Linked DNA regions of Kluyveromyces lactis. Each later gene encodes a partner of the first gene's protein in a complex. Links are inferred from orthologs where the notes say so. Each region holds a gene or a part of one and is shown on either strand. Other genes may lie near its edges.

Evidence for each region.
Region 2: EAF1 (region 1) and YNG2 share a complex: the UniProt entries of both Saccharomyces cerevisiae proteins name them as parts of the nuA4 histone acetyltransferase complex. The link is inferred for Kluyveromyces lactis from reciprocal best matches to the Saccharomyces cerevisiae genes EAF1 and YNG2.

Annotation. Positions count from the first base shown.
Region 1 is NC_006041.1:1,912,688-1,917,097, forward strand, and holds the start of EAF1 (Eaf1p), read left to right. Parts: upstream 1-1,561; coding exon 1,562-4,410. Other genes in the region: protein-transporting protein BCP1, read left to right, coding at 244-1,062. UniProt on the Saccharomyces cerevisiae protein: Component of the NuA4 histone acetyltransferase complex which is involved in transcriptional activation of selected genes principally by acetylation of nucleosomal histone H4 and H2A. The NuA4 complex is also involved in DNA repair.
Region 2 is NC_006037.1:629,866-632,713, reverse strand, and holds YNG2 (histone acetyltransferase YNG2), read left to right. Parts: upstream 1-1,254; coding exon 1,255-2,142; downstream 2,143-2,848. Other genes in the region: rRNA-processing protein FCF1, read left to right, coding at 1-191; KLLA0_A06996g (DUF4112 domain-containing protein), read right to left, coding at 304-915; KLLA0_A06952g (uncharacterized protein), read left to right, coding at 2,391-2,848. UniProt on the Saccharomyces cerevisiae protein: Component of the NuA4 histone acetyltransferase complex which is involved in transcriptional activation of selected genes principally by acetylation of nucleosomal histone H4 and H2A. The NuA4 complex is also involved in DNA repair.

The DNA.
Region 1 (4,410 bases):
TAACAACTGACAAGGGACTCGCTGATTGATATTTTAATTATCCCTTTCATTTTTACATTCTTGACAGCATCGCATGTCATCTTTACCTTTTCGAAAAGAAACTATTCTTTAAATTTGATGCAAACCTGCATTTGGCGAGCTCATCACTACTTTAGAATAGATTCGAGGAAGTTTCAAAGAGATAAACAATAGTTATTAGTTGGGCTTTATTAAACCAGCAACAACACTCTATTTTAGTCTGCAATGGTCCAGGTTGTTAAATTAAGTGCATTATCCAAGAAACGTGCAGTCGATGAGGAATCTGATCTTGACATATCAAGTACAGACTCAAATATTTCAGACCAAGAAAACGGTCAAGAGGAACAAGAAATCATCAACATCGATTTTGATTTCTTCAATGGTAATCCCGACGTTGATTTCCATGCTTTGAAGAATCTGATGCGTCAGTTGTTTGGACCACAGGAATCGAACAGAATTCAACTAAGTGAATTGGCAAATTTAATCTTGGACTCACCAACTACTACCATCAAAACCGATGGTAAGGAGTCTGACCCATACTGTTTCCTATCATTTATCGATTACAAGGCCAACAAAGATAGTGATTATGCCAAATATCTTCGTAAAGTTGACCCCAAGCTAGCTACTTTCCTACAAACTATAGATCAATCGGAGAAGACTTGTTCGTTAGTCTTGAGTGAAAGATTGATTAATATGCCACCAGAAGTTGTGCCGCCATTGTACACTATCACATTAGAAGATGTGAAGCTTGCGCTTGGGGATGATAAAAACTATGATTTCTACCTAATCGTTTCAAGGAAGTACGAAGTGAATTTTGATATGGACGAAGACGATCTAACATCGAACCAAGCTGTCCGCAAGAAGGTAAGACAAACAAACGAAGTAGACTATTTCCATGAAGAAGATCGTTTCCTTGAAAAGCTAGCCAAAGTCCATGTGGATTCCGAGGCGAGAAAGGGTCTTATTACATCGTACATGGTTTTGGACCATGCTGGACTAATTAAATCCATCGAAGATCTAGATGCGGCCATCAAGACCTGGTGAGTGATGTAAATGTTCAGTAGTTACATTGAGGAAGGTGATGATGGTATGTGGATTAATCCCGTTCTGGGAACCCAACAATTAACGCACGTGACCTGATCTTTAGTTACCCTCCTTACATGATTTCGGCCTCCCAAAAGAAAAAAAAATCTTTCAAGGAACAAAAAAATTGCTGAACAACATGAAATACGTACTTATATAGTAGAAATCGAGAAAACAAGCCGTAATACGGTAACAGAACAGGACCGTGAGAACACTATTCGACTCAGTTTCAAAAGTACCTGACACAGAAAAGCCTTGTTTGGTTGGACGATCCTGTTGTTTGTACAGAAGCGTGCTGTTTCCGAGACAAGCCCTCGCTAAAAGAAAAATCAGAGGACCCAGTTTCCTTTTTTTTTTTTTGGATATTTTCCTATCACTTGCCATTCAGACCGAAAGTTATATTTTTTCAACGTGACAGATATTCACAGAACATCTAATAGAAAGTAAGGATTTCAAGGCGATGAGCAGTGCAAGCAAAGGGAATGCTACTGGAAGTAAGAGCCCAGAGCAGCTCTTAGAGGAGAGACGGCACTTGCTAGTACAATTGTACTGTATCTCACAAATTACCGAGTTAAAAAACGTGGAGAATCATGAGAGAATAGGGAAGGAGATAGAAAAGTTTTTAGATCAACATACCTTGATCAAGGACAAGCCTATAGATATTAATGCATTGCCTAAGTTTAGGCCGAGAGACGTGTCGTCAGATAGGAAGCTGAATAACAGGAGTAAGAGTTCTTCACCGTCAGAAGTGAAACGAGAATTGAAGAAACAGCGGTCGAAAGACGTGTCGCCAAGTGGAAGCGAGGAACATGATGTGGATACGCAGACACTCCCGCAGTCTCAAACAAGGGTAGTTCCACGAGTTCAGTCACAGCAGTCAATTCAGCAAAGTTCAAGGCAATCTATGGTGCAAGCGCAGTCATCTCGACAGCTGCAGCAGCAACAACTGCAAAAGCAGCGATCGGTGTCTCCCACACAGAAGCTGCCGATAACACATAATAATGTTCCTCCTGTGGTAGTTCAGGCACATATGGAACCGAAATCTGTCCAATATCCGGAGACCCAATCAAAGCCAAGTACTTCTGGAAAGCGTTTGTTAGATGAGGAACAACAAGATATTTCCGAAAATCAAATAAGTAAAAGGCAACGGCTTGATAGTGGAAACCTATCTAATTCTACCGCTGCACGTAACGCTGCAACAATGGAAATTCCGCCTCATCCTTATTCTCAGATGATAGACATCTCACAATTGCATGCTGACCCAACACCAATTGGGGTGAAAGAACCTCAACCCTATATTATAGAATCTATTATCAACAATGTATCAAAGGAAGAGCGTAAGACGTTTTTCGAAGATGACATAAATGTGAAAGAGGCGGTATACATGATTACGAAAGAGAACGCGCCAACCAAGTTGGCAAAGGGTATGCCCATTCAAGAAATCAAATACTTATCCCAGACTTTGCCCTTGCTGAGATTGATACCACAATCTCAAAAAGCATTGACGACTGATCTGATTAATACTGCATTGAATGAAAGACGAATCACTGTAGTAGCATCAAGGATAGAGGAATTGAGAAGGCTGAATCTCTGGTCACTTAGACAACCAAGAAAATTTATCGATCCCGTTACCGCTTCACAACCTGTAACTCATCATAATGTGTTGATTGAAGAAGCAAAATGGATGCGTGAAGACTTCCGTGAATCGTTGAATTATAAGATAGCCATGTGCACTCAAATGGCACAGGCAGTTATGGAATTTTGGACTTATGGTAAAGTATGCTGTATCAATTGTAAAAGTATTCCACCGCCATCAAAGGACATAGAAGATATTGCTTCCTCCCAAGATATGGGAACAAAAATCAGTACAGTTGAGCCAGAACAAAAAGATAAAGAATCAAACACAAGTCCTGATCAATCCAACGATGATGGGTCTTCTAAAATTGCTGAAGATGTGGAGATGTCAGAGGATGGTGTAAAATCAAGTACCGGTTTAACTGATGGGAGTGAAGCGGTGGAAGAGAAGTCTGAAAATGGTATCAAAGAGGGGGACAAGGAAACTGATAAAAACTCATCTGAAGAGCCTACCATAGACATACAAAAGTTACTAAAGAGAGTTAACCCCAAAGATGAAATCGTCGCTCCATCTCTTCCGGTTACCTCCATGGAAGTTTATTTAGCTAAGAAATCATCCTCTCCCTTCAGGAATTACATTGATATAAAGGAATTATCAACACTGGGAGCAGCCATTTCAAACTCACTCCCTTTGTATGGTCTTTTGGACGAAAAGAATCTCGATTCTAGCAGACCATTGCCCTTTGAACCGGTTTCAAAGGCAATTTCTCCTCTTGACGAGGACCATTTCATGAAATTAGTAGAAAAGCAATTTGTTGACGAAGAACCATCTCTAGTTCCTTTATCAAAACGACGTGGTATGTTTTATGGAAATAGACGTAGCCATTATCTTCGCCCTCCTAATGCGCCATCATTACGCTATTTGAAATTTCGTACACCCACCATCTGGTTACCTGAAGATGATCAGGAGCTTGTCAAAAATATAAACCAGTATGCCTATAACTGGGACCTCATTAGTTCTCAGATGTCCAATCATCACAAAAGAGAATATGTTTCAAACATCGAACGTAGAACCCCTTGGCAATGCTTTGAGCGGTTCGTTCAACTAAACGAAAAGTTCAACATTGCAGATATGAAGGGTCCAAAGGCTCATAATGCACAAATATGGTTGTACGAAGCTCATAAATTACAGCAGCAGCAAAAAAGGAGAATATCTCCCCTTGGTGTGGGATCGGAATCCATACAACGAGGACATAGGCGTTTACGCTGGGCAAGTATGTTTGAGGCAATGAGAAAGTGCATTAAAAAAAGAGAAAACGCACCCAGACCAAATCCTTCGCAGCCGCGTAAACCTTTTGATGTTAAGAATATGAGTGTTCCAACCCCTCAAGAAATGTCAGACTTAAAAGCTCAGCGTGATGAGGCCTTGAGAAGGGATATGCAAATAAAACGTGCTGCCAAACAAAGGATGCAGATGGCTCAATTGCAGCAAGGAAAGCTTCCTCTCACTACAGCATCAAGTCCGAATTTGCCTATGGCAAATAATCCTAACTCAAAGGATTCAAGAATTAGGTCTAAGCAGTCCACTCCCCAGAGTGCACCACCACTAGGTGAAAAAGAAAAGGTTACAACTCAAACTCCCACACAGAGAAATACGAAACCGGCTAATAAACGTGAAATCATTGAAGGATATGCCAAAAAAATACTTTTTCAGAAACCCAATTTCACTCCAGA
Region 2 (2,848 bases), on another chromosome or scaffold:
GGCTAAGTTGTTCGCATAAGGGTACTTATGCGGATGACTGTATTGTTCATAGAGTGTTGCAGCACAAGTGTTACATTGTTGCCACGAACGATGCTGGTTTAAAGCAGAGAGTGAGGAAAGTGCCGGGGATCCCATTGATGAGTGTTGGAGGACACTCCTATGTGATTGAGAAGCTACCGGGTGTGTTCTAGGATAATATAAAACTGGGATTTAGCATTATACATAGCGGTATGAGTATGTATATATATATATAACTTTTCTTAACAGGATAATAATTGTACATTAGCACAAACGGCTTCTCGCTTATGTCTGTTTCAAGCCTTTTACCAAGTCTGGGTCCCTTCCTGGGGAGACAGAACCTAATTCTACAGGAGATGCGGCAATGGTTTCACCACCGTATTTCTTTCTCAAGTATTGTTCCAATGCAAGTGTGTTCCTGGAATTTGCCTTATAAGCAATCCCAACGATATCACCAACAATGGGAATCAACCCTAATAGGAAATCGATACAGATGTTCCCCAAGAGCTCTGCCTGCAAGGGCACAGGCAAACCACCTTGAATCTTCTGTGCTTCATGGAACACTGTCCATGACAAGTACAAACATATTAGGTCACCGACCACTGGCAAAAGTCCAATGATACCGAGCCATCCAACTCTCATCCCAAATATCTTAAACATCATATCAAGCCTGTAAGCTCTTTTCCTAACCCGTTGCAACACTGTTCTGTCATTTAATGGGACATAATCTGGAATTGCTTTCTTTAGCTTCTTATGCACAACTTGGCTATTTCCAGTCCAAAACGACTTCTTCACAAAAGTAACTTCCTCATAGTACGGATCCTCACCCTCACCAATCTTAATGTCGCCAAATATCTTGTTGGAAATCTTGCGTAGAATAAATGAATAGAACACCATGGTTTAGATTCAAGGTAAAGTTAACAAAAGAAACTGTCGTCGCCTATAATCGTGGTAAATTCGGTCTTTAACAGAGTTCAAATAAGCTCATATGCCAGGACTAGCTTTTCTGAATAATAAATACTCCCAAAAACTAATGGAAACATGTTTGTGAAGTACCAAACCATGTCCCTTTATCATGACTTTTTCTATTTCAAAGCCTTTAAAGCCAGGGAAAGCTTTAAAGCAATCTGGCAAACAATTTTCCATTGAAATAGCAAAGATACGTATGTAAGAGAAGAAGCTGTACAAAGAACGCTAGGCAGGCGCAGTTAGCATTTTGGAAGGCTGTATGGAAGAATGAGTAGCATTAACGAACGACCACAGGACCCTTCGAGTGCGTTGGAGCAAGCTACACAGGATGTTGCGAACTTGAAATCAGAGTTCCATCATATCATGGATGAAATGCAGGTAGCAGATAAAACCCTGGTGAGCTCAAGAGAGCAGTACCTACGGGAGGATTACGTGCTTCATAAACTTGTGAAACAGCATGGTTCGTTGACCAAGGACCCTAAAGAGGGATCCATTACTGAGACGGTAGAAAAAGAGATGAAGCGATGCGGCGATTTGCAACAACAGAAATGCATATTAGCCAATACAGCATTGTATCTAGTAACGAAACATTTGAGCAAGATCAAGGCCAACATCGAGTCACTTGAGGAAGATGGGTTACTTGCACCCTTGGATGATGAGCTTTCGGATAAGAAGGCTGGATCTGTTGATTTAGGAGCTGGAATCGCTGGCCTTGGTAACGGAACGGCTGGATCAGGTTCCAGTTCTGGTAGGAAACGGCCAGCCTCTTCATCATCAGCGAACGGGAAAGGACAGAAGAGAAAACAGCAGAAGAAAGAGAGATCTAGGTCTCATCAGCGTGCAGGAACAGTGTCTCGTGACGTGAGTCCTAACGCTGGTATCGGTAGAGATCCGACTTTCGATGCTTTGGCATATAACGATGATTTGTTCAAGATGAACCAAGGCGGCGAAGAAGACGACAAGCAGTTGTACTGTTTCTGCCAAAGAGTATCATACGGTGAGATGGTGGCGTGCGATGGTCCAAACTGTAAATACGAATGGTTCCATTACAGTTGTGTCAACTTAACGGAACCTCCAAAGGGTCAGTGGTATTGTCCAGAATGTCGACTGGAAATTGCTAATCAGAAACTAAATAAGAAGAAGAAGAAGCAATGATCAACGAAGGTTGGTATGACCCATTCATGGTCTTCACATTTCTTCACTCCTGCCGCTCGTATATATATATATATATCCTCATATGTAAATATTTTCAATTCTATCATGTAATGTATTATTATAATTAGCATTTATTCGATTCTTATTCTATATTCGACTTTGACATCTTGTGCTCTTTGTGAAGAGATGCAGAAAAACAGGCGAAAGCTATCGAAATAGTGGTCTCTGAAAGCGCACCAATAGGCAACATGGCTACACTATTTGGAAAGACGTTGTCTCAGGTTCATCCGAAGCTTCGAACAAATGGTATTGGTATTGCAACTAACCATAGACGCATTTCGCTAGGGTTCGATTTAGTGAGCAGAGACAAGAAGAATCCGTTATTACGGAAGTATTTAAGGAAACGCAGACATCGTGGGTTGAGGCGAGGGTTGCATCCAGATGAGCAAGGTAGTTATCACACTTTGGATGAGGATTTTGGAAGCAGTGTTAGAGAACCGTCTGTTTACGACGATTTAGACGAAGTTTTGGAAGATATAGATGAGTACGATGAGGACGGAGAACCCTTAAGTCGGACGGTGTCATTGCCCTCGAGGGTATCAGAACCAAGCAACGTATCACAACAAAATCTTGATTGGCTCTTAGAGGAGCACGAGAGAAGGTTCTCATCATCGCAGAACAGTGAGAACGACGAAGATGAGGACCT